Pelodiscus sinensis: one gene and its partner. The protein of the gene in region 2 interacts with the protein of the main gene of each other region in a pairwise test. Links are inferred from orthologs where the notes say so. Each region holds a gene or a part of one and is shown on either strand. Other genes may lie near its edges.

Evidence for each region.
Region 1: the proteins of FAM114A1 (region 2) and RAB2B interact in binary tests that used the Homo sapiens proteins (3 or more experiments, as listed by UniProt). The two-hybrid records come from large-scale screens. The link is inferred for Pelodiscus sinensis from reciprocal best matches to the Homo sapiens genes FAM114A1 and RAB2B.

The regions. Positions count from the first base shown.
Region 1 is NC_134740.1:773,457-789,316, forward strand, and holds RAB2B (ras-related protein Rab-2B), read left to right. Parts: upstream 1-4,170; 5' UTR 4,171-4,356; coding exon 4,357-4,402; intron 4,403-5,333; coding exon 5,334-5,405; intron 5,406-5,624; coding exon 5,625-5,692; intron 5,693-6,044; coding exon 6,045-6,127; intron 6,128-6,335; coding exon 6,336-6,428; intron 6,429-6,667; coding exon 6,668-6,779; intron 6,780-7,103; coding exon 7,104-7,172; intron 7,173-7,944; coding exon 7,945-8,049; 3' UTR 8,050-8,500; downstream 8,501-15,860. UniProt on the Homo sapiens protein: The small GTPases Rab are key regulators of intracellular membrane trafficking, from the formation of transport vesicles to their fusion with membranes. Rabs cycle between active GTP-bound and inactive GDP-bound states.
Region 2 is NC_134715.1:93,497,904-93,513,699, reverse strand, and holds the start of FAM114A1 (protein NOXP20), read left to right. Parts: upstream 1-7,970; coding exon 7,971-8,312; exon of another isoform or gene 8,313-10,484; coding exon 10,485-10,572; exon of another isoform or gene 10,573-13,552; intron 13,553-13,570; exon of another isoform or gene 13,571-15,796. UniProt on the Homo sapiens protein: May play a role in neuronal cell development.

The DNA of each region.
Region 1 (15,860 bases), on a different chromosome or scaffold from region 2:
TGATGGCAGGCAGCCTCTTCCACCCTAGCCTGGCCAGAGACACGCTCCATGCTGGCCAAGCCACAGCCCCCTCAGGCAACAGAACATCTTGGGTTCCTCTAGCTGCCTCTGCTCCTTGCTCAGTTCCAGGTGAGCCCGTATCTCCCATGGGCCAGCTCCAGCCTCCATCCATGGGCTCTGCTCGGCCCCCTTCCCAAATCCATCTCCCGTTTTCCACTCCTGGCCTCAGCACCTCTCACCTCCGCCCCCGACAGGAAGGGGTGGGCCGCCCCCGTGATGGCTAGGTAGTTGTCGTTTCCTCCAGGGAACTACAGGAGACAGAAAAGGAGATGTAGGGGGAGGGAGCTTTCGGCGTGACTTTCACACCACCACGTGTAAGTAGGGATGTTAAGAGTCGGCTAAGTAGGTAACCATATAACTACTGATTACACAGTTACCCGCAGCAAAGCCGCCCCTCAAGGACTGGCTGAGTGTCACTGACACCATTAACCGACAAGGTGATGCTTATTGGTTAAACAGCGAGTCGGTGACATACGGACATCCCTTGAAGTGTGGACAAGGCCTGGCTCACGGGTTCTTTGCCCCTCAAAGGTGTCTTACATTTCAGTCAGGCTGGTGTGAGCAGTAAGTGGACACCGAAACCAGCATCCAGCGCCGGGAAGATTCCAAGTGCGAGTCAAACCAACCAAACCAGTTTGACACCATTGGCAGGCAGGGGTGGGATTCGCGTCCCCAGAGAAAGGCAGGAGGGCCCGTGGGTTGAGACGCAGCCCCTTCACTACCTGGGCATCAGGCCTCGTCCAGACCGGCGCTGGGCTCTGGAGCGGGCAGCGCTGCACCCGTATACGGCGCCGCCGCTTCGAGAGACACAGCGTCCGCTGGAGCAATCAGGCCGGTGCCAGAGCCCGACTGGCCGCCGCAGCCAACACACCTCTGGAGGGCAGAAGGGCTGGCTCCCAGGGGGGGGGCACTACGGGCAGGACACAGCTGAGCTGCTGACTTCACCCCAGCCCCCCACTACCCACCTAGCTCACCCGCCAAATCCCCCCACCCCCCACAAATCCAGCCCCACAGCCCCCACCTAGCCCAGCCGCCAAATCCCCCCACCCCCCACAAACCCAGCCCCACAGCCCCACCTAGCCCAGCCGCCAAATCCCCCACCCCCCACAAACCCAGCCCCACAGCCCCCACCTAGCCCAGCCGCCAAATCCCCCCACCCCCCACAAACCCAGCCCCACAGCCCCCACCTAGCCCAGCCGCCAAATCCCCCCACCCCCCACAAACCCAGCCCCACAGCCCCCACCTAGCCCAGCCGCCAAATCCCCCACCCCCCACAAACCCAGCCCCACAGCCCCCACCTAGCCCAGCCGCCAAATCCCCCCACCCCCCACAAACCCAGCCCCACAGCCCCCACCTAGCCCAGCCGCCAAATCCCCCCACCCCCCACAAACCCAGCCCCACAGCCCCCACCTAGCCCAGCCGCCAAATCCCCCCACCCCCCACACACCCAGCCCCACCTAGCCCAGCCGCCAAATCCCCCCACCCCCCACAAACCCAGCCCCACAGCCCCCACCTAGCCCAGCCGCCAAATCCCCCCACCCCCACAAACCCAGCCCCACAGCCCCCACCTAGCCCAGCCGCCAAATCCCCCACCCCCCACAAACCCAGCCCCACAGCCCCCACCTAGCCCAGCCGCCAAATCCCCCCACCCCCCACAAACCCAGCCCCACAGCCCCCACCTAGCCCAGCCGCCAAATCCCCCCACCCCCCACAAACCCAGCCCCACAGCCCCCACCTAGCCCAGCCGCCAAATCCCCCACCCCCCACAAACCCAGCCCCACAGCCCCCACCTAGCCCAGCCGCCAAATCCCCCCACCCCCCACAAACCCAGCCCCACAGCCCCCACCTAGCCCAGCCGCCAAATCCCCCCACCCCCCACAAACCCAGCCCCACAGCCCCCACCTAGCCCAGCCGCCAAATCCCCCCACCCCCCACAAACCCAGCCCCACAGCCCCCACCTAGCCCAGCCGCCAAATCCCCCCACCCCCACAAACCCAGCCCCACAGCCCCCACCTAGCCCAGCCGCCAAATCCCCCACCCCCCACAAACCCAGCCCCACAGCCCCCACCTAGCCCAGCCGCCAAATCCCCCCACCCCCACAAACCCAGCCCCACAGCCCCCACCTAGCCCAGCCGCCAAATCCCCCCACCCCCCACAAACCCAGCCCCACAGCCCCCACCTAGCCCAGCCGCCAAATCCCCCCACCCCCCACAAACCCAGCCCCACAGCCCCCACCTAGCCCAGCCGCCAAATCCCCCCACCCCCCACAAACCCAGCCCCACAGCCCCACCTAGCCCAGCCGCCAAATCCCCCCACCCCCCACAAACCCAGCCCCACAGCCCCCACCTAGCCCAGCCGCCAAATCCCCCCACCCCCCACAAACCCAGCCCCACAGCCCCCACCTAGCCCAGCCGCCAAATCCCCCCACCCCCCACACACCCAGCCCCACCTAGCCCAGCCGCCAAATCCCCCCACCCCCTCCCAGCCCCACAGCCCCACCTAGCCCAGCCGCCAAATCCCCCACCCCCCACAAACCCAGCCCCACAGCCCCCACCTAGCCCAGCCGCCAAATCCCCCCACCCCCACAAACCCAGCCCCACAGCCCCCACCTAGCCCAGCCGCCAAATCCCCCCACCCCCCACACACCCAGCCCCACCTAGCCCAGCCGCCAAATCCCCCCACCCCCCACAAACCCAGCCCCACAGCCCCCACCTAGCCCAGCCGCCAAATCCCCCCACCCCCCACAAACCCAGCCCCACAGCCCCCACCTAGCCCAGCCGCCAAATCCCCCACCCCCCACAAACCCAGCCCCACAGCCCCCACCTAGCCCAGCCGCCAAATCCCCCCACCCCCCACAAACCCAGCCCCACAGCCCCCACCTAGCCCAGCCGCCAAATCCCCCCACCCCCCACAAACCCAGCCCCACAGCCCCCACCTAGCCCAGCCGCCAAATCCCCCCACCCCCCACAAACCCAGCCCCACAGCCCCACCTAGCCCAGCCGCCAAATCCCCCCACCCCCCACACACCCAGCCCCACAGCCCCACCTAGCCCAGCCGCCAAATCCCCCCACCCCCCACAAACCCAGCCCCACAGCCCCCACCTAGCCCAGCCGCCAAATCCCCCCACCCCCCACAAACCCAGCCCCACAGCCCCCACCTAGCCCAGCCGCCAAATCCCCCCACCCCCCACAAACCCAGCCCCACAGCCCCCACCTAGCCCAGCCGCCAAATCCCCCCACCCCCCACACACCCAGCCCCACCTAGCCCAGCCGCCAAATCCCCCCACCCCCCACAAACCCAGCCCCACAGCCCCCACCTAGCCCAGCCGCCAAATCCCCCCACCCCCCACAAACCCAGCCCCACAGCCCCCACCTAGCCCAGCCGCCAAATCCCCCCACCCCCCACAAACCCAGCCCCACAGCCCCACCTAGCCCAGCCGCCAAATCCCCCCACCCCCCACACACCCAGCCCCACAGCCCCCACCTAGCCCAGCCGCCAAATCCCCCCACCCCCCACAAACCCAGCCCCACAGCCCCCACCTAGCCCAGCCGCCAAATCCCCCACCCCCCACAAACCCAGCCCCACAGCCCCCACCTAGCCCAGCCGCCAAATCCCCCACCCCCACAAACCCAGCCCCCTCCCAGCCCCGCCCCCTCTCACCTCCATGGTCCCAGTGGCCGCCTCCGCGACTGAGCGACCCGACCCGACCCTCCGAGTCCTTGCCCGGAACCGGAAATCGCCCCCCGTCTCCGGTGTGTGGCGTCACTTCCGGTGCCGGCCGCAAGTGGCGCGGCCCTGGAGACGGGCCCGCGACCCGGTTGCCAAGGAGGGGCTGGAGGGGTGCCGGAAAGAGAACAGTAGAGACGGGCCTGGTCACGAGACAGAGCGGCACCGGAAGTGGCGCCATAGAGTTGAGAAGGGGTAAAGGCTAGCGCGACCGGAAGTGGAACCATGGAGTTGACAAAGGGTGGAGGCTAGCGCGACCGGAAGTGGCGCCATAGAGTTGACAAAGTGTGGAGGCTAGCGCGACCGGAAGTGGCGCCATAGAGTTGACAAAGGGTGGAGGCTAGCGCGACCGGAAGTGGAACCATGGAGTTGACAAAGGGTGGAGGCTAGCGCGCCACATTAACTGCACCATAGAGTAAGCGGCGTGCTAGGCATAGAGCGGCTCCTCTTGCCGGAAGTAGAGCAGCGAAGAAGGCATAGGGTGCGGGCAGAGCGGCACCGGAAGTAGAGCAGTGGAGTCCGGCACGGGGTGGGGCTAGAGAGACCTTTGGCGGACCCGCTTGTGGCATCATGTCTTATGCCTACCTCTTCAAGTACATCATCATCGGGGACACCGGTACCGGGCCGGGCCGCGGGGGCTGTGGGGGAGGGGCAGGGGACGGGGGCTGTGGGGGAACGGGGGGCTGTGGGGGAGGGGCAGGGGACGGGGGCTGTGGGGGAACGGGGGGCTGTGGGGGAGGGGCAGGGGACGGGGACTGTGGGGGACCGGGGGGGGCTGTGGGGGAGGGGCAGGGGACGGGGGCTGTGGGGGACCGGGGGGGCTGTGGGGGAGGGGCAGGGGACGGGGGCTGTGGGGGACCGGGGGGGCTGTGGGGGAGGGGCAGGGGACGGGGGCTGTGGGGGACCGGGGGGGCTGTGGGGGAGGGGCAGGGGACGGGGGCTGTGGGGGAACGGGGGGCTGTGGGGGAGGGGCTGAGGACGGGGGCTGTGGGGGAGGGGCTGAGGACGGGGGCTGTGAGGGAACGGGGGGCTGTGGGGGAGGGGCAGGGGACGGGGGCTGTGGGGGACCGGGGGGGCTGTGGGGGAGGGGCAGGGGACGGGGGCTGTGGGGGAACGGGGGGCTGTGGGGGAGGGGCAGGGAACGGGGGGCTGTGGGGGAGGGGCAGGGGACGGGGGCTGTGGGGGAACGGGGGCTGTGGGGGAGGGGCAGGGAACGGGGGGCTGTGGGCGAGGGGCAGGGGACGGGGGCTGTGGGGGACGGGGGGGCTGTGGGGGAGGGGCAGGGGACGGGGGCTGTGGGGGAACGGGGGGCTGTGGGGGAGGGGCAGGGGACGGGGGCTGTGGGGGAGGGGCTGAGGACGGGGGCTGTGAGGGAACGGGGGGCTGTGGGGGAGGGGCAGGGGACGGGGGCTGTGGGGGAACGGGGGGCTGTGGGGGAGGGGCAGGGAACGGGGGCCTGTGGGGGAGGGGCAGGGGACGGGGCTGTGGGGAGGGGGCGGGGGCCGTGGGCGGGGAACAGGAGGGATACTGACAGTCTCTCTCCCCAGGGGTGGGGAAATCCTGCCTCCTGCTGCAGTTCACAGACAAGCGCTTCCAGCCCGTCCACGACCTGACCATTGGTGAGAGCAGGGCTGGGCTGGCAGGGGCCGTGGGTGGGGAACGAGGGGCACTGGCAGGGCTGGGGGACAGGGGCTGTGAGCCGGGAATGCAGGCGGGAGGCAGGGGCTGCAGGGCAGGAATGAGGGGCACCGGCAGAGCACTTGTGTTGGCCAGGGTGCACTGGGGCTGTCCCATTGGGTCTTCCTAGAAGGTTTCTGCTCTTTGCCTCTTTTTGCCAGGTGTGGAGTTTGGGGCTCGGATGATCAACATTGACAGCAAACAGATCAAGCTGCAGATCTGGGACACGGTGAGACGAGGGGTGGGCAGTAGGGCTCGGGGCGGCAATTGGGACAGCGGGAATATTGGGGCTGGGATATAGATTGGGAGATGGAGCTGTGGGGGGCGGTTACTCAGATGTGCTGGCCTGTGGGGTCTAATGGAGCTTCAGGATGCAGGGGGCTGACTTGGGGGTGATGAGGGGACTAGGGGGCTGGGCAAGCCAGATGTGGGCTGGGGGAATGGTAGGATGGAGGAACTGAGCCAGGCCCCAGTGGAGAGCTGTGGGCCTGGGCAGAGCCATGGGGCAGGGGGAGCCATACCCTGGGGCGAAGTCAAATCAGGGGAGCTGCTGTACTCAACATCCCTCCTCTCCTGTCCAGGCTGGGCAGGAGTCGTTTCGTTCCATCACCCGCTCATACTACCGTGGTGCGGCCGGGGCACTGCTGGTCTATGACATCACTAGGTAAGGCCTGCCCCACCCGCCATACCTCCCACTGACATGCTTGGAGCCTGGGGACCTCCCAGCCCCCTCTGTGCCAGGATGGGTAGGAATGGTGGCCCTAGCCTCTGGAGGTGGGTGACGGGAGAGATCATGTGACGATTACCTGTTGTGACACTGGGCTCGATGGACTTTTGCTCTGACCCCATGTGGCCGTTCTTATGCCCCACAGGCGGGAGACCTTTAACCACCTGACCACCTGGCTGGAGGACGCTCGGCAGCATTCCAGCTCCAACATGGTCATCATGCTCATTGGCAACAAGAGGTAGCCGGAGGCAAGGGGGCTGGGATCCACTTGGCAGGGAGGGGCGGATTCGGGCTGTCGAGGAGCTGGGAGAGCAGCCAGATGGGGGACACCTGTGGGGTAGGATGGGAAGGCGTCTCACCATGGGGGGATTCTCTGGGGCATGCAGGGATCCAGGGTGAAGCACAGAGGACCCAGGGAGTCAGTGGAGCAGGACCCCTGCCCAGCCGCGCTCACCCCCGCCCCTCGTGTCCCCGTAGCGACCTGGAATCTCGGCGGGACGTGCAGAAAGCGGAGGGCGAGGCCTTCGCACGGGAACATGGGCTGGTCTTCATGGAGACTTCGGCCAAGACATCCACCAACGTGGAAGAGGTGACTGGGAGAAAGGGAGGGGCTGAGGTTGTGGCCTGGGACTGCCCTTCCCTGCCACCTGCCTGTCTGCTTCCCACCTGATCTCCCTGTGTCCCTTCCCCTGCTCCCCTATCTCCTTCCTCTTCCTGCACCCTCTGTCGCTGCCAGTGGCATGGCGGTGCCCTGGCGTCACCCCTCCTACCCTGCCCATGCATCCCTCCAATCCCAGGTTCACCTAGTGTTTCCCTCACAGATGGGGTGATGCATGGGACCCCGTTATATGGGAGGGAGGAGGGAGTTTCCCAGACTTGCCTCGTTTCAGCCCCACGTGTGTTGGGATTTTAGGCCTTCATTGACACAGCCAAGGAAATCTACAGGAAGATCCAACAGGGGCTCTTTGACGTCAACAACGAGGTGAGCCAAAGCTGCCCGCCCTGCCTGGGTCCCATTGCTCATCCCACTCCCAGGGCCTGTAGGGCCATCCTGGACATCTAGGTCCCATTGCTCATCCCCCTCCCAGGGCCTGTAGGGCCATCCTGGACATCTAGGTCCCATTGCTCATCCCCCTCCCAGGGCCTGTAGGGCCATCCTGGACATCTAGGTCCCATTGCTCATCCCCCTCCCAGGGCCTGTAGGGCCATCCTGGACATCTAGGTCCCATTGCTCATCCCCCTCCCAGGGCCTGTAGGGCCATCCTGCACATCTAGGTCCCATTGCTCATCCCCCTTCCAGGGCCTGTAGGACCATCCTGGACATCTAGGTCCCATTGCTCATCCCCCTCCCAGGGCCTGTAGGACCATCCTGGACATCTAGGTCCCATTGCTCATCCCCCTCCCAGGGCCTGTAGGGCCATCCTGGACATCTAGGTCCCATTGCTCATCCCTCCCCCCACCACCTCAGGGCCTGTAGGACCATCCCGGTCACCTACATCCCATTGCTTGTCCCCCTCCCGGGGCCTGTAGGGCCATTGCTCGTCCCCTCCGCTCCCACCCCACCCCCGGGCCTGCAGGGCCATCCCGAACACCTGGGCTTCCCCTGCATCTCCCAGGCACAGGGGTGAGTGCCCCATGCTGCTATCTTGAATGCCTGGGTCCCATTCCCAACCCCAGGGTCTCATTAAGGGGGGAGCGGTTGTGGGGCTCTGGGGCAGGGTCTTCCCTTGCGTAACCTTCCCTCTCTCTTCTAGGCAAATGGGATCAAGATTGGGCCACAGCAACCGTCGGGCATAGCTCCTGGCGCCGGCACCCGTCACAGCCCCCAGGGCTCTGGAGACAGCTCAGGCTGCTGCTAGGCGCCCCGCAGTGCCCTCTGGTGTTGTCAGAGCCCCTGACTCACCCTCTGCTCCCGCGGGGTGAGACCAGCCCGCAGCCCTGGTGAGGAAGTTGGCTCCCAGCGGAAGTGGGGAGATCTCCTGTCCTGACCCCATGGAGGGGAGCAAGGACCCGATGCCTCCTGGATCATGCCTGGGGGGCAGTTAAAGATCCTGCCCCTAAACATTCCTCCCTGTAAGCTGGGGGGGCAGGGGCCAAGATGGGTCTGGAGTCTCCCCCTGTCAGTGCCTTCTTGCTTCTGCTGCATCTCTGACTGCCTAGGACGCACCAAGGCTTCCCTTCCTGGGGACTGAGGGGTCCTGACTGCGGACCCCCCCCCATGCTGCCTATGTGTTCCTGGCCAGGAGCCTCTCCCCTTTTAACTGTATCATTCTCTGGCTCCTCGTCTATTAAACATGTACGTGTCTGCAACCCGCACTCTGCATCTCTGCTTATAGGGGAACTGTGGCCCTACCCCCCAGCTCCCCGCGTGCTTGGGAAAGAACCCAGGGGTCCTGGCTCCCAGCTTCCCCCTCTCCTCCCTGCTCTAACCACTAGACCCCTTCCCACTCCTCCCTATTCCTGTCCCAGAGCTGGAGAAAGAACCCAGGACTCCTGGCTCCCATCCCCCTCCTAATCACCCCACTGATGGAAGATGTATTCCTTTGTCTGCCTGGGTGGGTGGGACTGAGCTTTTCTAAATATCTTGACGGATTCAAGTACTGAGTTCCCCATTCTCCTTACAGAGCTCTGAGCATCTGGCCCGTGTGTCTCCGGGCACAGGGGGACAGGTGGGTGAACATGATGACAACACAGAGGCCCAGATGCTGGTGACGGGGCCATAGGTTGCGCATGCTCACCTCTGCTGCTAGGGCAGCGTTTAACAGTCAGGGAAGGGGGTTGCAAAGACCCCCAACCCTCCTCTTCTCAGCACGGTTCAGCGTGGTGCCCAGAGGGAACCAAACCCACTACCACCACCCAACCTCAGCTCTGGGGAAAGCTCCCTAAAGACATCCCTGGGGGCAGGCAGCAGGAGGACTGTGATGGCCAGCGGCTACCTGCGACTTGTGTTCTGCTAGGCGGGTTAGGAAATGAGACCTGAGTTCACTTTTCAAGTGGATTCTTTAACCTGCATCAAACTCCTGCGTGGTTGAATTCAGTTTAGCTTTATTCCCTTTAGGTGTAAATGAAAATCAGCTGAATCACCACCGCTTGAACCCTGAACAAGAGCTTCCGTGCAGGGATTTAATCTGGTTTAATGGATCCGTTTTAAATTCACCCCCTTTGTGTCCCATGTGGACAGCAAGCCACTTGAGCGGGGGAGACACTTGGGTATTCTGTGTCACTTGGACCACGTAGGTCCCAACCAGCTGATCTTTGTGTGCTACTGCTGTATAGGTTTTAATAGCATAGCAACACCAGGGCAGGGGTCATAGCTTTGGGGCGAAAATGTTTTGCTAAGAATTATATATATTTATATATATATGTAACATATGAATTTTTTCTCCTTCCCAGAAATATTTAACTATGTAAAATATTTGAAGGAAAAAATCTTGCAATTTTTCTGACAATTTTGGGGAAATTCACACTTTCAATTTTTTATTTTTCTATAGGAGAAAAAGGAGTTTAAAGGGGTTTAAATTGGAGGCTGTGAGGAGAAGAACCCATTTGTTTTTAATGTGTTCACATTTTCCCACTGGAAAAGTGAGCAAAGATTTTAACAAAACAAAGTCATTATTGGATGCCTGCCTTTCCTCTCTTTTTTTTTTCCAGTGAGGTAAAAAATGAGAGAAAAATTACAATAAACAGAGAAAAGGAAAAACCCAGGAAATCCTATTCTTCTTAAAATTAAGCAATGTTTGATTTGTTTACAAACGCTTTCATTTTGGTGGGAAAAACACTTGTTTAGAATTTTGTAACAAAAGCCATTTTAAAACTTTAAAATGTTGAAGGAACAATACTTGTTTGTAGTCTTTTGAAGCGTTTTGCAAAGCAAACTTCTGACCTGGCTCATAAGTGCAGGGGACAGTTTCAAGTGGTGCACTGGCTTTGGTAGTGATGGACCCAGCTTGCAAGCCTGTCTCTAACTGTAAGAGGCATCTGCTGCCTCCTACAGAAGTTTTTCTGCTCGTGGAGGAACATGACCTTGCCAGACAACATGAGCTGTGCCAACACTGTCAGTGCTGCTGGGGTTTTGCTGGCGTACTGTTCAAACCCCGCCTGATGTATCTGTTACATGTAGACAAGGTCTTAGGACAGCACCAGCCTGAAGAAGTCCAGCCTCACAGGGAAGACATCTGGGAGTTATGAACTCATTCAAATGTTTTGATTTGTGTTTTGGTTTGGTTTTGTTTGTTTTTTTCCCTATTTCTGAGGAGTGGGGGGAGAGAAACTTTTCCTATCAAAAAGCATGTTTTGTTGGGGGGAACCCTAGTTTTTTCTGGTTCCTTTTCCCATGGGTGCTGGATTAAAGTTTTGAAACTGTCAAATGCTTTTGTTTCAGAAGAGCAGGGGAATTCCTCCTTCCTGTTCCATCCTCTGCCTCTTGCCCCCCAGGAAATTAAGTGGGAGGGGCTACAGGAAGAGAGGCGGCATTTCCCCACTGTTTGTTTTACTTTTTTTCTTTTGACTTTGTTTAAAAAGCCCCATCAATCTTTTTTCTGTGGGAAGTGGCTTTGTGGAAACAACTCGGATTAAAATGCTTTTTTTGGAGGAACATGTGTTAAGTACTGGGTCAGACCAGGTCCATCTAGCCCAGTATCCTATCTTCCCACAGTGGCCAGTGCCAGGCGCCCCATGGAATGAACAGAACGGAATCATCAGGCGACCCGTCCCTGTCACCCATTCCCAACCTCTGACAAACAGAGGCCAGAGGCACCCTCTCTGCCCACCCTGACTAATAGCCATGGATAGACTTAACCTCAATGAATTTTGAACTCTTTTAAAGTCCTGTTTAATTCATTTTTTTCCACGCTGGGTCATGATTTTATAGACCTGGAACATAAGAACGGCCATACTGTGTCAGAGCAAAGGTCCATCTAGCCCAATATCCTGTCTGCCAACAGTGGCCAATGCCAGATGCCCCAGAAGGAAGGAACACAACAGGTGATCACATCTCATGATCCCTCTCCTGTCATCCATTTCCAGACAGAGGCTAGGGACACCATTCCTACCCATCCTGGCTAATAGCATTGATGGACCTAACTTGCATGAATCTATCTAGCTCTTGTTTGAACCCTGTTAAAGTCCTAGCCTTCATAACATCCTCTGGGAAGGAGTTCCACAGGTTGACTGTGTGCTGAGTGAAGAAAAAACTTCCTTTAAACCTCCATCATATTTCCTTTAGTCACCTCTTTTCCAAGCTGAACTCTCCCAGTCTTATTAACCTCTCCTCATATGGCAGCCGTTCTCGGATCATTTTTGTTACCCTTTTCTGAACTTTTTCCAATTCTAAAATATCTTTGAGATGAGCTGACCACATATGTGTGCAGTATTCAAGATATAGGCGTGCCATGGATTTATATAGAGGCAATAAGACATTCTTTGTCTTTGTCTCTTTTTTTCTGATTTTTAATACTCTGTTTGCTTTTTTCACTGCTGCTGCACATTGAGTGGCTGTTTTCAGAGAACTATCCACAATGACTTCAAGATCTCTCTCTGGAGTGGTTATAGCTAAATGTAGTTGGGATGATATTTTCCAATGTGCATTATCTTGCATTTATCAACATTAAAATCCATGTGCCAGTTTGTTGCCAAGTCACCTAATGTGTTGAGCAGCTCCAGGACTCAGAGTCAAGCTGGAAGGGCTGAGAATCCCAGTAAGGGATGTTTTTGCTGAACACCAGTTGCTGGGCTTAGTACACAAGTTACATCTGGACAGGAGTGGTTTTGTGGGTATTTTTCCTTGCAATTTGGAGGTGCACAGGGCCATCTAGAGGTGAGCCATGGCCTGGTGGAGGCTGGCCAAGACAAGCCCCTGGGAAGCACAGCAGTGAGTAACAGTGGGAGTTAGAGGGGTCACAGAGGCTAATGTTTCTGGTATCTTTCTGGGGAGAATGAATGTGACCAGTCACTCATCCAGCTGTATCTGAATCCCCCTGGGGCTCAGTTTCCTTTGTGACCAGAGGCTATAGCTCTGCCTTCAGGCAGTGAGCTCAGAAATGGAGCAAAGCAAGCAGCCTCTGAGCCCTCCAGGGCAAATAGCTTTGTTCCTACCTTGCACTGGTGCTGCCGAGCATGCCACTGTAGGGAGCAAGGTGGGGCAGAACTAGACGTAGTGAGGTGTATCCCCACACTGACCACAGCTGTTGGCCAAATCCTGCTCCCATCTGTAAAATCCACACAGACTTGGAGGGGAGCTGCCGCCACCTGCTCTTAGTTCACTGCTTGTAGCTTTCTTCACACCTCCCAGAGCCCAGAACCCACCTAAAGCCCATCCGCACCCAGAATTGTCCAGATTCACACCACATGGGCTTGTTCCAGGAGAAGAGTGCCTGGTTTCTGCCTATCTTGAGGCCGGATCTACACTACTAGAAACGCTGGGCCAGCGACCTCTCCTAGTGTGAACACATCTTATGCTACCACGAAAAAAACGTTAGTTTGCTGGCACTTCCAGTCACTGCCTTGTTTATACCGGAAGAGTTTGTCTGGCCTAGCTGAACCCAGTCTGGCTACACAGGCAAGTCACCTGGTGGAGATGCAGTGTGCACCAGTAGAAGACTCACCCAGCCTTAATCTAGATTCATGTCTCAATGTAGACAAGACTAAAGGTACGTCTACATAGCAATGTTATTTTAAAATAACAGTCCACCTCTACACAGCAGGCAGGTCTTTCGATATACAGTCAAACTGGAGGACTTCTTACTCCGACTCCTGTAACCCTCATGGTATGAGGAGTAAGGGATGTCCAAGGAAGAGTACTCTATTTTGAAATAAGTGCTGTGTAGACACACCCTGCGAGTGCTAGCGGGAGTTGACCAAGAGTAAAGCTGGGTGTAGAACAGCCTTTGTGATTGTGAATACCAGGATTTAAACCACTGTGCCTCTTTGCAAATTGGGGATTAGAAGATTAAAGTAAATGGGTCCTGTGTTAATATTGCAAAAATACAGAGTTATGTGGGAGAAAAACCCACAGCCCTTGGGGAAACTTGTCAGTCTCAATGGTAAGCATAGACCAGATCTCCCCCAAGTGAAATCATTCTACCTATAGAAGAGCAGTTCTTGGTACGGCTGTGTGTAGACAGGAGCGTCGCTGGCCCATCTTTGTGGGTGAGGACATAGGCTGCTTCACAACCTTGACCCATAAAGCCATGCTGGTAGGAACGCCAGAGCCAGAGGGTTCATGTACTCATGTAGTTTCATTGACTGACTTCACAAGTGGACAACTTAAGAGTTGCCTATGTGGGGATGTCAATCCAGACAACGGCAGGATGTGAATTAAAAATGGAACAATTTAGAATAACTCCCAATGTGGGCCCTCTTATTTAGGAATAAAGTCTTGATTACTGAGAGGCACTCTGAAAAAATCAGTCTGGATTAACAATGTGAACTACAGAATAAAACCATATGCACAAAGATTTTTTTTTCAGAATACCTGTCCTACTTTAAATTTACACCCTGCCTTAATCCAAATTAACATCTCAATGTAGACTAAGGCTATGTCTAGACTACAATGCTTTATTGGAAAAAGGTTTGCAATTTGCATACCTTTTTCCAATAGTTTTGTCGGAAGAGGCTTTTCCTAAATTTGACCTGTTTTGGAAAATTTTGGAAAAACCTTCTCTTTCAGAAGAGCCCTTCTTCCTCGTGGAAGGAGGAAGACAGGGCTTCTGAAAGAGCATGTCTGCTCTTCCGCCAAAAAAAGTGGAAGAGCAGATGTGTTCCCTGGATACCTCCAATATCCTGGAAAACCCCATAGTCTAGACGTAGCCTCAGAAGGTGTGTCCAGACTACTGAGTTTTGTCGACAAAAGTGGACTTTTGTCAACAAAACTATACCAGCGTCTACACTGCCGCTGAGTTCTGTTGACATAACGTCGACAGAACTCAGCAGTTTTGTCAACGCTGGTATACCTCATTTTACAAGGCATAACACCTTCTGTCAACAGAAGGTGTTATTGCCTGTGGGGTTGCGTCTAGACTACAGGGCTCTGTCGACAAAGCAACTTGCTTTGTCGACAGAACTCAATGTGTCTGGACGCTCTTTGTCGACAGAAGTTTTGTCGACAGATACTGTCGACAAAACTTCTGTCGACAAAACCCGGTAGTCTAGACGTACCCAGAGTGTTGGCAGGAGCTAATCAAGAGCAACTCTGAGTGTGGACCAGCCTTTGAGATCATGACAGCCTGGATTGAAACCGCTGTGCTGCTTTGCAACGTGGGAATTAGAGGGTTAAAGTAAAGGTCTCCTGTGTTCATTTGCAAAAATAGCTCCCTGCGCCGACCTCTTTCTGATGCTTCCATTCCATTGTGAAGGCCAGGCCTTGAACAGGGTTAAAAAAAGAGCTAGAGCCATGTCTACACTTGGAGACAAAAAGAAGCCACAGTCAATCTTCTGGGGTTTGAATGAGCAGGTCTGGGGAAGGTCTTAGTCCTGCTTCCACAAGGAATAAGGGAAGTCGGGGAGAGTGGCTCTGACTTCCCACAGTGCGGACAGCTCCATAAATCGAGTTAAGATACTTCGCCGTAAGAGGCGCAAGGAACGTAGCTGAAGCTGCGTCTCTACCGCGACTCCATCCCAGGCCAGGTCTGTCAATGGCTATTGACCGGGATGGGCAGGACTAGTGAACCTGGCTCAGGGGCTGGGGAGGGCAGCCTGTTCCCTAAGCAGGCACTGAAGGGGGCACCACTGCATTAAAGGGGGGGTAACAACTCCCCCCATGCACTCAGCATGCCCCCCCCAGCCTGTCCCCTATAGGTGTCCGACCCACTGCCTGATTGAAACAAGGGTGTGGGGAAAAAATCCCCCGTGGGCTGCCGGGCGAGGGCGAGAGGGGCCAAATCCCGCAGGCCGCAGGGGGGTTAATTCCATGAGGGAGATTTTCAGTCAGGCACCACGCGGGGCAGCCCCAGCCGGGCCAAGGCCTCCCTCCACCCCTCCTCTCTGCGGAGACTTCCTGGAAGGGGTCTCAGCCTAACCTGCTAGCTGGCCCCGCCCCCGGGCTCGCGGCCGCAGCCGGGAGAGTGGGCGGGGCTTCGAGGGGCTGCGGGGTAGGTTGCGCCGCCCATGCTCCGCCGCCTTGTTCGCGCCGGGGGGGGGCCGCGCGGCGCGGGGCGAGGCCGAGGCGGCCGCAGGGGAGACCCCAGGTAGGTCCCCGCCCCCCCCGCCCGCACGGGTATTATGGGATGGCGGCGCGCCCGGCCGCGGGAGGCTGCCCAGGCGCGGAGGCCCCCCCCCCGAGGGATGGTCCAGCCCGGCCCCCATAGGGGGTAATGGGGGGGGGCGCGTCCATATTGCACCGGGGGGTAGATGGGGGGCGGGTCCATGTTGCACCCGGCGGGGGGGAGGTTGGGGGGCGGGTCCATGTTGCACCCGGCGGGGGGGGGGGAGGTTGAGGGCGGGTCCATGTTGCACCGGGAGGGGGAATTGGGGGGGCTGGGTCCATACTGCACTGGGGGGGGAAATTAGGGGGGGCTGGACCCTTGTTGCACAGGAGGGGAATTGGGGCTGGGTCCATATTGCACCGGAGTAGTGGGGGGGGCTGGGTCCATATTGCACGGGGGCAATGGGGGGGGGCTGGGTCCATATTGCACGGGGGCAATGGGGGGGGCTGGGTCCATATTGCACGGGGGCA
Region 2 (15,796 bases):
ATTAGCCCGTGAGCACCATTAAAACCTAGGCAGAACTTATCCATACGTCAACATTTGTAGTATCTGCCATACTTATAATGGCAAATCACAGTGCGAGTTGTAAATTAGTTTTTCCAAAGATAGTTAAATTGCAATATGAACATCATTTTAATTATTTGTTATCAAGTGCTTGTCACTTGTGAGTTTTATGGTTCACTGACTGTAAGTGGAATATGGCAGAGGGGTCATAATAAGTCTGAGGGTAGCTGTGTTAGTCTGTAACTTTAAAAACAATAGGGTAGTCCTGTGGCACCTTAGATCAGTGGTCCCCAACCTTTTTGTGGCCAATAGCACATTCATGTTTTCAGAAGAGTGTGGCGGGCGCCAACACTTTTTCAAGGTTTATTTTGTATTGGTTCGTTAAATAATATGAAAAACATCATATTTAATATTACATCATATATGAATCCATAAGATAAAAAAGGTAATTTTACATGTAAAAGGTATTAATTAAATTATTCAGCAATTACTCTTTCACCTTGCCATATGAATTTGCTCTTTTTTATCTACCTGTAAGAAAAATTAAGGAGTTTTTACAAAATAAATATCATAAACAGTTTTCATCTTATTTATTTTTAAAAAGTAAAACATTGTTGAACTTCTGGTCCAAAAATACTTCTTATTCTTACTTTAACATAGATAGACAGTTATACTTAGTTAAAAAATATTCTTTGTATTGTTACTTTTATGTGGATTTCAATAAACAAACAAACAAATATGAAAAAAGTTAAACACAAGTTAATCATACCTATTTTCCATTAAGTGCTGGTGAGCGCATATCATTAATTCGTGTGGTTTTTTAATAAAGTCAGTGTGATTTTTGGCACTGCATTTCTTCAGCCAATTTTTCATAGTTGGGAGAATAGGATGATATTCTCGTTCATAAGCAATCGTCAAGATGGGCATCTGTAAGCCGAGATCTGTATTTTGATTTTATGATGATCATTGTTGAAAACAGAACTTCGCATAGATAAGTGGAACTGAAATAAGATTTTATTTTGTATGCTACATTTTTTTAAGGCAGGAAACTTTTTTCGGTCAACCAGATTCCAAAAGTTTTCATGTTACCTCTCCCTCCTCCCGTTTGACCGCCCAGCTCTTTCTTTTCACTTCCTCCCTCCTTCCCCCTGTGCACCTCCCCTGGCCATTTTTAAATCCCCTGCTGCCCGTCCCAGTCCCAGGGACATCACCCCCGTCGCTCTTCAGTGCCCCGCTCCCTTTTGCATAGCTCCGGTGCCATTTTGCATCGTCTGCCCTTTTTCTCTCCTGCCGCTTGCGCTCCCCGGCTCTTTAAAGCAGTGCGCTAGACTCCCGGTGCACAAACAGCCGGCACAAAGCCGGTACCTGACCCCTCGCACCGCGAGCAGCACGGTAGCAGGGGGACCCCGAGTGCGGGGTGGCAATGCCCCATCACAAGCGGCAATACACGATTAGAGGTTGTCACTAAGCGGGTGCACATAAATGCCATGGCATCCGCGGGCACCATGTTGGGGACCACGGCCTTAGAGGATACTATATATTTTTGTTAGTCTCTCAGGTGCTGCAGGACTACTAGTTGTTTTTAGTTATATTAATGGGATAATACAGACAGAGAAATACTAAGTTCCTACCCCAAAGATGCAACATTGTGAATTGGATAAACAATACTGTTGAGACTCCTACATACACTGAACAGCATTTAAATTTTCCTTTCTGTCCATATTTCACTTCCAGTTTTGCTGTGGCTGAGGATTTTAACACAAACATTAATAAACCACATCCTTTTGGAGAGAAAAAGTAGGTGAGGTAATATCTTCTATTACCGGGATTTTCAAACGTGAGTTGCGGACCCAGCAGTGAAAGCCCCTGGTAGGCCCATAACGATGGTTTACTCTAAAGCTCCGCAGCTATGAAGTCTCACAGCTCCCATTGGTCACAGTTTGCCATTTCCAGCCAAGGGGAACTGCAGGAAGTGTCGCTTTCCCTGGTTTGTCCGCAACCCAAGTTTAAAAACCCCCTGTTCTGTTGGGCCAAGTTCTGTTGGTGACAGGGATGTAAGCAACTAGTTGACTATCTGATAATCATATACTTATCGAATAGTCGACTAGTGAGTCAACTAGTCACTTCCCCTGCTCTTGCTCAGAGAGAGGCAGGAAAGAGGGGGAGCAGGATCTGCTGCTGGGTGGTGGGGGGACCAGTGTAAAAGCCAGCTTCCCCGCATCAGCATCTCCATGGGGGGAGAAAAGGAGGCAGAGGTGTAGTGGGGGATCATGTACTAGCTGGGAATCAGTTGGTTCCTGGCTCATGCCCAGTCCCCCCCATTGCGCTTCACCCTTTTAAATGTATTAAGAGCCTGGTGACTCTTAATACATTTAAAAAGCACAAAGCTTGGTGGAGAGGGGGACTGGGCATGAGCTGAGACAGCTGATTCCCAGCTCATGCCCACTCCTCCTCCCTCCTCTGCCCCCAGCTACTCTTCAGCCTTTTAAATATATTAAGAGCCTGGCGGCTCTTGATACATTTAAAAGGTAGAGCCACAGTAGGGTTAGCTCCTGGGGCTGGGAGCTAACCTGGCTGCGGCTCTGCAGTGTCTGCCCCTTGATAGAAATTCCATCGACTAGCCGATTAGCTGATTAAACGCCATTTAACATCCTTAGTTGGTGAAAGAGCCATGCGTTCGAGCTATACAGAGCTCTTCCTCAGGTCTGGAAAAGATTCTCAGAGTGTCATCGCTGAATATAGGATGGAACAGATTGATTAGCATAAATAATTAACATGCGTTCTAAGGGTATGTTTGTATTGCAGTTAAAAACTAATGAGTGGTCTGTGCCTGCTGACTTGGGTTCATGGGGCTTTGGCTCATGAGGCTGTTTTAATTGCAGTGTATGTATTCAGGCTCAGAGACCTTGTAATGAGGGAAGGTTCCCCCAAATGTGTACAGTAGGTCACAATTAAACAGCCCCAAATCAGCTAACACAGGCTAGCCACAGGTATTTAATAGCCGTATGGACACACTCTAAGTGACCATTCAAAGTGAAGATTAAAAGCTCCTAGGGACAGGTATTATGTCTTCTGTATGCCGTGCCAGGCATGCTGTTGGTGCTCAACAAATAGATAACAATGATCATTGTACAGTACTCCCTTTGGACTCTGCCATTGCCACTCCTTCCTCAGCTAAGGTGATTGCTGAATAGCCACTCCTGTCCCCTCTTGCATTTTCATTGTATAGTCTGCACAGCATGCATAGGAATTCTCTACACTGGATGTATTTATTTTAAACATTTTCCATCACTAACTCCTGTATAATTCCTGTTCATATCAGGGGTAGATGACAGTAAAATGCTGGTAGCCACTTAGCCCCATCACTTACTTTTGCTCCTGTGGAATCAATAGTTTGAACTTTTAAGAAAAGAGATCTAATGTCAACACAGCCATAATCATTTCAGGATCAGGCAGAGAGACTACATTCAGGAATTGATAACACTCTTTATCTATAAAGAACCAGAGTCAGAAATGTTAATTGTCTCCCATGTTACCCTTTTAAGTAAAAAGTGCAAGTTAAAAGGTGCCACTGAAAAACAACCTATGCCAGTTATTTGTTCTCTCTTTCAGTCTGAGCAAAATTTGGAGGAGGAAAGTAATTAATTGGCTTGAAGGGGAAACAGGAAAAATAAATACTATTTAAATGTCTAACAAGCAAAAAAGACAACCTTACCCTAGGGATGTGAAACATTAACCGGTAATGTTTACCAGTTCCAGTTAACTGGTGGGGCTGGAGCAGTTCCTCACCTGCCAGGAGCAGGGGACTGCTCCAGCTCCATGGGGCCCGTCCCAGGCAGGGGCACTGCAGCCTACCTGAAGCAGCCTCTGCCCATGGTGGGCCTAAGCACACCACAATCAGGGTCCACTCCAGCGCAGGTGGAAAGGGGACACTCCCTGCCTGTTCCCCCTTTAATCAGTTAACCAGTTAAACATTATGTTTAACCAGTTGACCAAGATTTTACATCCCTAGCCTGCCCCAAACATGCATACTGTGCCCTCAATCAAAACCAATAAACCTGGGCTCTGCCTAACCATCTGGAGATGCGAGTTCCAGAATAGAGAGCCACTCATACCACTTGAAGTTCTAGGAGAAAGTAAAAAGTCTCAAAACATCATTCAAATAGCAAACATCTCGGACAAATCATGGTGGAGCCATCTCAGTAGTGAATGACTGCTGAAATTGTAACGACTCCTGAAGCCATGCCCTGCCTGCCCTCAAGTTCTCTCCTCAACCTAATGCAGTAACATCACCACTATTTCATTCAGATTAAGCTTTTTCCAGCATTCTCTGCAACACTTAATCAGTTGGCTCTGAGACTCTATCTTCTGGGTCTGATGAAAATGAAATCATGTCCTCTGCATGCCAATGGCACTGTAGCCCGAATCAGCTCTCTTCCTCAATGGTGTTACATCTACCTCTAACAGAAAAGGAGATGAAAATAAATCTCTGTGGCAGCTCTGACAAGAAGTTCTTTAGGACAAATGAACAGTTCCCCACAAACACTCTCTGGAGCAAAAAGAATGGAACCACATGAATGATGCCCTCTGTACTTCTCAGGATGGGTTCTTTCAAGCTGCTTAGATCCCTCATATCTCACTCATTTCATGGGATCAGACTCCAATCTGCCTATATATTTTTCTACATGCATGCAATTTCATTAACATACAATCATCACATGATTTTTGTTATTTCCTGTGAGACTATAAAGGACTGAAAATGAGCTAACGTTAAAAAGAATTTTAATTGAAAAGTGAAGGGGAAAGTTTTAACTTCAGGGATGTAGAGATTAACTCTCCTCTTTGGTTTTCTACCTGTTTAACTCTTAAATTACTCCTGATTTATACTAGGGTGATTAAATATTAGTTAATTGATTAGTCGAGTAACCTCATGAATTCTGTCTATAGTTCCCTGGGGTGGGGCTGACAGCCAGTGTGCTCCGGCCTCACTCGTGAGGAGCCAAGCTCTCCTTGAAGACTAGCTGCCTGTTGCCCAGTACTGTTGTGTCTGATAAAGAGGCAGCAGCATGGGGTGGCAGTAGCCCCTGTATAGGAGATGTCTGAGCTCCTAGACCTGGTACGAGCCAAAACAGCTTGGCTGCCTGCCCATGTGGCTCCTAATACACTTCAAAGGTAGAGCCACATTGCGGGGTAGGTCCCAGACCCGGCATGAGCCAGGACCAAGCTGGGCTGCCTGCCTGCCCAGCTCCTAATACACTTTAAATGCAGAGCTGCAGCAGAGTAGGTCCCAGACCCGGTGCAAATCAAGAGTGAGCCAGGCTGCTGGCCAGCCTGCTAAAAAATTTACTGGCAGTGGGATGGGGGAGAGAAATGCTAGTAGTCTACTCTATAGCATTATCATAAGCTTTTGCTTATCGGTTAATCGGTTAATTGACTACACTATTATTACATCTCTAATTTATACCTGTGTAAACAAGAACACAGTCTAGTCAATTCTGCTTAATCATATCAAACAGATTATTTGTATAGCCTTAATCATTATAAATATATCTATATAGAACTCAAGTAGTCGAAACCCAAAGTGTGAGTTACCAACAGTTAAAATAAATTACATTCCTAAGTAGTATAGCCAACTTCAAATACCAGAAAAAGTTTGAATGTGAGGCTCACTTATTTATTGTGTGTAAAAAATTTCTATTGCTTTAATTAGAACATGAGAGAGCACCAGATCTGTGTGGGACAGAAGTAAATTTGGGTCTAAAATAAAGAATGTACCTACTAAAATTCTACAATTGATAGGTATATGTTCATATTTGGTTGTAAATCTGTTGTAAATCTGAAGTAACTCCATGGGAGTTAATGCTCCTACATTTGGGTAAAACAGGCGTGGGAGAAGAATTAAGCCCAATGTATCTGAAAAGCAGTTCTCCTTTGTCTGTCTTCCAAGACCTATGTTCATAAAACACAAAGGCTACGTCTACACTGGCATGATATTCCGAAAATGCTTTTAACGGAAAACTTTTCCGTTAAAAGCATTTTCGGAAAATCACGTCCAGATTGGCAGGATTCTTTTCCACAAAAGCACTTTTTTGCGGAAAAGCGTCCGTGGCCAATCCAGACGCTGTTTTCCGCAAAAAAGCCCCGATCGCCATTTTCGCGATCAGGACTTTTTTGCGGAAAACAGTACTGTGCTGTCTACACTGGCCCTTTTGCGCAAAAGTCTTTTGGAAAAGACTTTTGCCCGAACGGGAGCAGCATAGTATTTCTGGAAAAGCACTGACGATCTTACATGAGATCGTCAGTGCTTTTCTGGAAATTCAAGTGGCCAGTGTAGACAGCTGGCAAGTTTTTCCGCAAAAGTAGATGATTTTGCGGAAAAGCTTGCCAGTCTAGACACAGCCAATGGGAAGGGGCTGCTAGCAGCCATAGTTGTACTGCAGAATGACCACTGGAGGCGCAGGTGCGCCAGTAGGAGAGTGGCCAGCTGGGGACAGGGCTCTAGATGTTGCTGGCCACTCACACGGGTAAGATTCCTGTGCTGCTGAGCTGCCTGTTAGGCAGCATGGCTTCCCTTTCGCCAACCAGACCCAGGGAGCCGGCAGCCAGGCAGCATAGTCCCCGGCCAGCCCAGGGGAGCTGTTTTATAGCAGCCTTCATACAAACAATACTTGAAAATTCTCTGCAGAGTTCAATAATAAAGTTATGGTTTAAAAATGACTGTAGAAGAGAAATGTTCTGTTTTTGCATGAGATTAGAGAATGAATAGCATGTAGGGCAGATAATGGAAACATTATTCCAGATGGCAAGGGTTACAGAGCTGCTCTTCTTGCACTCTCATTGGTGAGATAATGGGAGGGACCTCGGGGAAACCAGTGCTAAACAAGCAGAGAGAATTTCAGTAACTCAGGCCACGGCTGTTGGCCTTCTGTAGGAGAGGGTGAGTGAGGTTCTGTGGCTGGCAATGTGCAAGAGGTCAGACTAAATCAAGGGTCTCAAACACCCGGCCCATGGGTCATCCCTGGCCAGAATGATTGCATAATCCAGCCAGAGACTCTTGGTGGACTGGGGGGGAACTCGTGCTTTACTGGTCCCCAAGCCACATCCCTTCCTGCCATCACCCTGCCTCTCCATCCCATGGTGCTCTGTCCCCCAAGGATGCCACTTTGGGGATTATTGCGGGGCATGGCATGGCAGCAGCAGTTGGGCCTCCCATGGCAGCAGGAGCCACGGGGAAGCAGAGTGAGTGCACTTGCCCAGTGTGTTCTGCTTCCCCAATGGCTCCTGCCACTGCAGAGAGTGCAGGGAGGTGCAACCCCTGCCACCACGTGGTGCCAGGCCCCCCCGGTGATCTCTGAAGCCACGTCCTTGGGGGATGGTGGAAAGAGGGTGGGACAATGATGGGAAGGAGTGGGGTGTGGGGACCAGTAATAGACAGGACCCACTCGGCCCACTGGGAGTTCTAGGTTTGATTGTGCAATCGCTCCGCACAGGGATAGCCTACAGGCCAGGAGTTTGAGACCCTTGAAGTAGATGATCATAATGGTCCATCTGGCCTTAAAGTCTATTAGTCTATAATATGAAGAAAATAAAAAGTCTTGGACAAGTCTATGTTGGGTTTTAAATCAGCAAGATTTCTTTAGATAAGGTAATCAGTGTTTATTACATGGACTGTATATACTGTCCTCCAAGATCAAGGATTATAACTAACCTGCACAAACTAACCTTGATGATTTCTGTAAATGAAACACTGCTAATTTACAACACAGACTTCTGTAGTCTTCTGTGTCATTATTAGCATGCTGTGTATCTGCAATGTGATTGAATGTGATTGCAAGGCAGGATATATATTTCACTGCCTTTGTGTCGTTTAAGTGTTTGTGAGATTTGACATTGATTTGATTAGTTCATATAAATATACTCATCTCTTTGGTTTTTTTAAGTTGAAATAAAAAATGTCTAATGACATGAGTGACGCAGTACCCATTGAAGGAAAACCTGAAACAATGGCAATGCCTAGTAGTGATGAATCGGCTAAAGATACAGCAGAACATAGTGAAATGCCTGGGATCTTGCATGGGTCTTCCCAAGATGAACAGAGACAAGTTTCTTATAATACTAGTAATGGACAGGAAGGGGACATGGCTATCAATGAAAATCCTTTGACTATGGAAGTAATTGCAAGTCAGCCTTCCAGCAGAAAGGTGACTGAAAACGTGCCTACTGACTGCAGCGAGTCTGTGAGCCTTGATCCTGAACCTGGATCAGAAGTGACACCAAATGAACAAAGCAGTCCAGTAAGTAATCTTGTCTTTTTCTTCCAGAACAGCTTTCCTTTATGGTAATTAGCTTTCTGTATGAGAGAATCATAAGCATATTTCCCCACTTTGTGCAAAGAACAGGATTCTGTAAAAATAATATATTTTGTAAAAATAATAGATTTGCTGCATTAGCATTTTGCTATGAAATAATCATGGGCAATTTTCTACAAAAATCTAGGAAATCATGCCAAAAAATCTGTGGTAAAATAACACTGTTTAGATTGCAGTGAAGCACTCAACAGTTAGGAAAAGTCAAATTTGCCCATGTGACATGAATTTGCTCCCCTGGTGTGTATGTACTATGATAATCCTTCATTTTCTTCACACCCCGGTTCATTCAGTGCATGGGATGGACAAAAAGTGGGCAGAAGTGGGTCACATATGCAACCATTAATTTGTGCTTCCTGACTTCTGGGTATCTGACTGCAAACTATACAATATCCTTTCAGCCTAAGGATGTATTTGTTTTCATATTTACATTCTGTTAGCACCTGAAGCCTCAATCAGATTAGGCCCACATTGTAGAACAGTATCCTTGCCTCAAAGAGATGATAGTCTGGTAAGGCCAGTCTAGCCCTATTTAGACACATGCTTAAGTCCCATTGAGTTCAGTGAGACTTAAGCACATTCAAATGCTTTGCTGAATAGGGGGCCTTTAAAGATAAGATATGCCAGATGGACAAACACATGAGTTCAAAAACAAGAAGATGTTTTAACCTAAAGTAGCCGTATTTGCTCTTCTTAGCTAATTGGTAGTCATAACCACAATTCACCATCTGTCTAACAATTATCAGACAACATTTCTATTGATGTTCCATAGAGCTCATCTCAAAATCTTGAGATGTTTCAGTTATTACTATTGTTTTGTTTATATTAGTACCTACTACTTTTAAAATTATAATTAACTAGCCATAATGAAAAACTGAAATTAAAACGACCCTAGCTCCTGAAGGTTCATGAATCTTTGTTTTCTACTTCAGCTGAGTGCACAGAACTGCTTATGTTAGTGGCACAATTACTATTGCTTGTGGATACTGTGTTTGCTTCACCTGTAAAAGCAAAAGTTATTTCTTTTTTTTTATTTCATGTCAGCAGCATAGAATCCGTGTCCAATAAGGACACAGCAACTTCTCCATTTAATATGGTGAGCAGAAAGGATCTCTAATCAAATTACAGACAAGGAATTGTAGGCCAAGGACTGGAGGAAAGAAATAATTTATTCTTCCCCTTTGAATATGGGTGAAGAGGGTCATGCACATAAGACGTGTGCCTTTTCTAAGGAACCTGTTTTCCTGTCCAGAGATTCAATACATATTGAAGCTAGGTTACAAAGAAGTGATATAGAAGTTCTAATAAGACAATTGATTTTTTTAGCCTTATTAAAATATGGAATACTGAAAATAGTCTAATGCAATACAATAATTTTAGCTACACTTTATTTTCTTGAGAGAGGGAATGTAGGCCTTTGCACCAGAGTTACTCTCTTCTCTGCACCTACCACAGAAGCTTAAACTTTAACCAGAAACCTCAATTTAAAGTAAAATAATGCAGCACTGCAACGCCACCATTGAATATAAGACAGTATCTTCTTTGGGTTTCTATTCCCACAGATCCCTGATGGCATTACAGGTTGAACCCCTGTAATCTGGATTTCCCTGATCCAGCATTGTCAGTGATCCCATGGGTACTTGGGGCTGGAGCACTCATGAATGAAAACCAGTTGGGCTGGGGCCAGGAACATTACTGGACCAGGGAAGAGCTGAGCCCAGGTGGGCAGAGCCCCTGCAGGCTGGGACAGCTGAGCTGTGGAATCCCAGCAGGTCAGAGCAGTTGAGCTGCAGAGCCCTTGCAGACCTGGGGGGGGAGGGCAGAGATGCAGCTGAGCCCCAGCATCCTAGGAGGCTGCTGTAGAGCGCAAGCAGGGGGAGTGGAGATGCTGGCAGCCCCAGGTCCAGCAAATTCTGTCATTTGGGACTGGTCAGTCCCGAGGGTGCCAGACCATGGAGATTCAACCTGTACTGTTGAATTACAAATGTAATTACATTGTTTAATACATGCTGGAGTCTGGTTTCTAGTAGTGGATATTTTTTCTCCTGTATTTGGGCAATTTAAATTTCTGACGGTGAAACTGAATATTTCCTACTGTAGGATTTGGACTCCTCTCCTAAAGGAAGTGGATGGGGAGCATGGGGATCATGGGGCAAATCTCTGCTGTCAACAGCATCTGCCACAGTTGGTAAGTGTTCAGCCATTAAACCTTGTGGCATCACTGGACAGTACTTTTAAATCAGAGTTTTAATGCAGGTTGGCATGGTTAAATGCTCTTAAAGGCAACTATTAATGACTAAGTGGTTGTTTACATTTGTAAGATTTATATGTAATCTTATCCTGCTTTGAACAAAATATTCCTGGGCTACCATGACCTTTGCAATGTGAAAGAAATTTTTTTTTCTTGTAAATCATTTTGGCTTTCATGAAAGGTCAGTGAAGTCAACAAATTACCTCATTAGATTTCAGAGAGCATAAGGAGATCCTGAATATTTTTTTAAATTATAAGCCTTTTAACTTCTAACATATCTTCTAAATTCAAAGCCAACTTAAGCCACTAGTGACAAAAAGTATGTTATATTATCAATTTGTTATCTGACAAAAAATTGTGTGGTGCCAGGTAGCCATTTTACAAAGAAACCAGTTTAATTTACATCCTTACTGGAAGTTTTAAGAGAGAGGCTAAGCACTTAGGGGTTTGAAGTCTGAATTAACCTTCCTACTCTTCAAGATGGTATTAGAGTTGGGGAAAATTGAAAGGATATTATTGGAAAAGTTTGCATTGCTGTTGTGCATTCATATTCTTCAGTCTCTTTGGGCTGTCTGACCAGCATCTTTCACAAAGTCATAGTTGAAAAATCAACAATGTTTTCATTTGATTATATTCACACAAATCAGTACATAAATCCTGGATTCTTGGGAGTAGGATCTACCAACATCCAAATGTACTATCATTTCTTGAATTAATGTAGGTTTGGTAAAGTAATAGGCATTAAACATTAAGAATTTTCTTCTTAATGACAAGTTCATGGTATGAGCCAGGGGATTTGTGTGTGTGTATTATGATTATTTATATAATTACTAATAGGCATCTCAAGGAATTTAAGAAATGCAGGTAGTGAGTTTAGTCATGTTAGGTTAAAATAACAATGTATATGCTTTGAACAGAAAAGAAACAGTATCTATATGTTTATACTTTATATGCATATCATAGTACATTAATGCTATTATAACTAACGTGCAAAGTCTTTCATGTAAGTACTGCTGACCTATGACTGTTGTCCCCTAGTAGATAGTTTCTTGCATGAGGAAACAAATAGGTAATAAATCCACTCTTCAGTATAATAGAGAAGGTATTAAATTATCCTATTACTGGAAGTTGCAGCTAGACAAATTCAGGCAGGAAATAAGGTGTAAAATTTTGAAACAGTTTTCCAAGAGTAAAGGCAGATTCTACATCACTGATTTTAAAATCAATATTGGATGTTTTCTAAAAGATTTGCTCTAGGATTGATTATTGAAAAGTTCTATGGCCTGTTGTATAGGAGACCAAACTAGATGTTCACAATGATCTTGGGATCAATGATTCCCTTAATACAACCAAGGAATATGCAAGACCTTGTGAGTACTGAAATACAAAACATTCTTCCAAGCAATATGAGTCATGCAATAGTCTACTTATTTCAATTACCCAACTTGTTTACTGCTATTATATCAGTATGTATACATAGTGCTCAGCCTGAGCTCATTGGTTAACCCTCATGGTTATATGCAGTTCTCCCTCCCCTCCACCTCCCCTCGCCTCCTCCCCCCCACTGCTGCCTCTGTATCAGAGGCAGCAGCGCAGGGGGAGACGCAGGAGCCAATGCTCACAGGGAAGCCAGCTTAAAAGCTGGGTCCCAGAAAACACCGGCTCCCGCAGAGCCAAGTGCTGGGGTGGGGGCAAGGAGGTGGAAGCTGATACACATGGGAAGCTGGCTTTCAAGTGGTAACACATTTACAAAAATAAACAAATGTTAACATCCCAGAGAAAGAGGCAACTTTCCTTTGTTTCAGGGCTTTAACTGCTGGAGAAAGACTGCCCTCCTTCCCAGCCTCTGCTCGGGGGCTGCTCTGGTGGGGAGAGGGAGACATTCCCCTCCTTCTCAGCCCCATCTCACTATCTGCCAGGGCAAAGTGGTGGGGTGAGAAAGAGACACCCTCTCCCATTCCCAGAACAGTTTGGTGGTTGGTGGGACAGGGGAAAGATACCTCCTACCCTGAGGACTGCTATTTACAATTCCTAGTGCCCTATAGCGCTCAACCATCTGCACCATGCCCACAGAGGAGGAGGGTGGCCACTTCACAGGAGAGCTATCTCAAGGGCTAGGGGACAAGCCCAGGGCTGGGATGGGGCAGGAACAGGGCTAGAAGTGGGGACACTGACAGAGGAGCAAGCAGGGAGTGGTGTGAATGCATGGGGAGTTCATGGGGATTGGATCATAGGAGACTCGCCTTCCCTCTCCCTAGCCCAGTTTCAGTTCACTTGGTGCAAAGGGAGCCCTGCTAGTTCTGGTTGGTACTGAGGAGAAGGCAGATCCTTGCAGGTGGTGTGGGGGGGAGGGGAGGAAAGCAGTGCTTCTGGGGCATCGAGGGGGGCTGCAGTTAGCCCTCTTCACCCTAAAGACAATTGAGATGCTACACACCAAGTAAGTGTGCAGTGGCTTTAACTGGGGAGGCAGAGCCTTACTGGAAGGAAACCAGTCACCTCAGCTTCTCCCATGCTGCTGCTATGCAGTCCCAGTGGCTGCTTCGGCTCAGCAGTCAAAGTGTGGGGGTCTGGGAGCTGAGGGAGGGGGGCGGTCACAGAGCATCATGAATCACTGGGCAGCACAGACATGCATAGCCCATGGTTCCCTCCCTAGCTGGAGTCAAGGCAGCTTCCTGGGCCTCACAGGACTGATTCGCCCTCCCCAACGGAGCGGTAATTCCTCTTGCCAGAGCCCTTTATTCTTGCTTCATCTGCTGGATCTGGCTATCCCTTGCATGCGTGCCCACCAGCCAGCTGCTCTAGTGAATCCTTCAAAACCTGCCGCTTCTCCTCTTCTCTCCCAGCTTTGTCCAGGGAGTGGACCAGAGGTGAAGCGGGGTTCTGCTCCACAGCTTGCTGGAGATGAGCTGAAGGTTTCCTTTTGACAGAAGGGGAAACAGCTGATGAGTGGCGGTTGGGTGCAGCCCTAGAGATTACATGATGAATTTTGCATAAAGCATATTTGAATTATGCATATTCATATTCAAAACACATCGCCATAAAAATATGTAGGCGTAGCATCACAGACATATCTTGAAAGTAACTGAAGTTGCAAGCATGTTACTGAGAGCAGAATTTAACTTGCAAAATAGAATTCTGTCCTCAATTGCAAAAGCACATTTCTCATTAAGGTAATTAAGAGAGAGACGTTTATCTGATGGTAAAATATGATCTTTTAGAAATAAAAAAGAGACATAATGTATGGTATGAAGAGAGATTAAAAAGAAAGCATTGTGTGGAAAGATTAGTATGTGCGATATGTCGGAAGTATATAAAATAATTAATGATACAGAGAAGATTAAACCATTAGATGATTAGATGAAGGAGATAGTCTATACGTCTCTTGTAGTCATTTCTAACCCTGTGATTTTATAGTTATCCTCATTGTAGAAAAACAAGGAAACAATGAATGAAATTGAAAGTAAACACATTTAAAACAAGTAAAAAGAAATACTTTTTAAAAACACATAATTGACCTCACTGTCATACCATATAACTGGGGCCAAAAGCTTCATATCTAAGGGTTTAGAAAAGGATTGGGTATTTTTATGGATGTATATTCACAGTTACATTAGATAAAATTGAAACATTGTTATATGGGATATAAACCTGTGTGCTTCCAGATTCACTCTACATGGACCAGGAAGAATATCCCCCTACAGACAGGCTATTTCTTAATTATCCATTATAGAAATTCTTGCTCCCAACTTTTAAGTGTTTAAAGTATGTCTACTGTCAAAGAATATTGGATTATATAGATCACAGGTCTGAGCACAATTATAATTCCTAGATAGAGGGGAAACTAAGCTTTTTATACAGTCAGTGAGGAATCGTTGTAATAGATCTTCTTTTTATTTTATATTTTATATTTATTATTATTCTTTAAAATATTCTATTGAGTATCTGAATAATTCATCCCACACTACTTCTTTCATCTATTCCACTATATCAGAAAACAGGTATCACATGATACAATCCACCTGAATGTTGCTTGTCCCCTTAATGTAGCAAGTGCTACAAACAAAGCCATTTTTCTCGTACTAAAACTAGCAGCAGCATCTTAGATCTAGTACTTCGCTGTTTCTTAGTAATCCCATTTCTGTAACAGGCTTGCTTGTTCCCAGTGAAGCATGACAAATGTTTACTGCCCTTTGCTTTATTTGTTATACATTTTTCTTAGTAAAAGTAGCTGAAATGGTTGCACAGTAATGTGATTGACCAGTTAACATTTTAAAGGGATAACAGCTCTCTTCAAGGCTGACTGAAATGGATGTTCATCCCTGTTGGTTTCATTATCCTTCAGGCCCTGATTTAGTACTTCCAAACAGATTAGCATTTTTACAGTATGGCGGTAATTTGCTTAGCATTGCTGTCGTTGGTTTCTAGCAGCATTTTCTATGCGAATTCAGTCTTCTTTCTCTACTTAACTATTTCAACACATACACACAGGGTTTGGTTTTTTTTTTTTTGAGAAAATGTCCTTCATCTCCAAAGTAACATTCACATTTAACTAGTCTTTTTGGCTTCAAAGGGGTAGCCAATTTAGTCTGTAACTAGAGAAACTTAAAAAATGACTTGTCTGGCAGCACCTTAAAGACTAACAAAACATGTGGATGGTATCATGAGCTTTGGTGAGTACAACCCACTTCTTCAAATGAAACATGGTGACAACATGTGACAACATCATACAACATGGTGACCTTGAGATCCATTAGTGAGTGCTAGGGCAGGTTAAAGTATTCTGCAACAGGTTTCTGTATGTTGACTTTTCGGATATCTGATTCATGTCCATTAATCCTTTCTGGTAGAGACTGTCCAGTTTGACTAATATACATGGCAGAGGGGCATTGCTGGCACAGATCACATTAGTAGATATGCAGTTAAATGAGCCTCTGATTTGTTGGCTGATGTGGTGGGGTCCAGTGGATTGTACCCATGAAAGCTCATGATACCATCTACATGTTTTGTTAGTCTTTAATGTGCTAATAGACCAGTGTTTCTTAAACTGTGCTCTATAGCACACTGGTGTGCCGTGAGGCAGTCAGAGGTGTGCCACGGAAAACAACAGAAATCAAAATGGCCACCCTTAAAGGGGAAGGTGACCTTTTTTTTTTCCTCAACA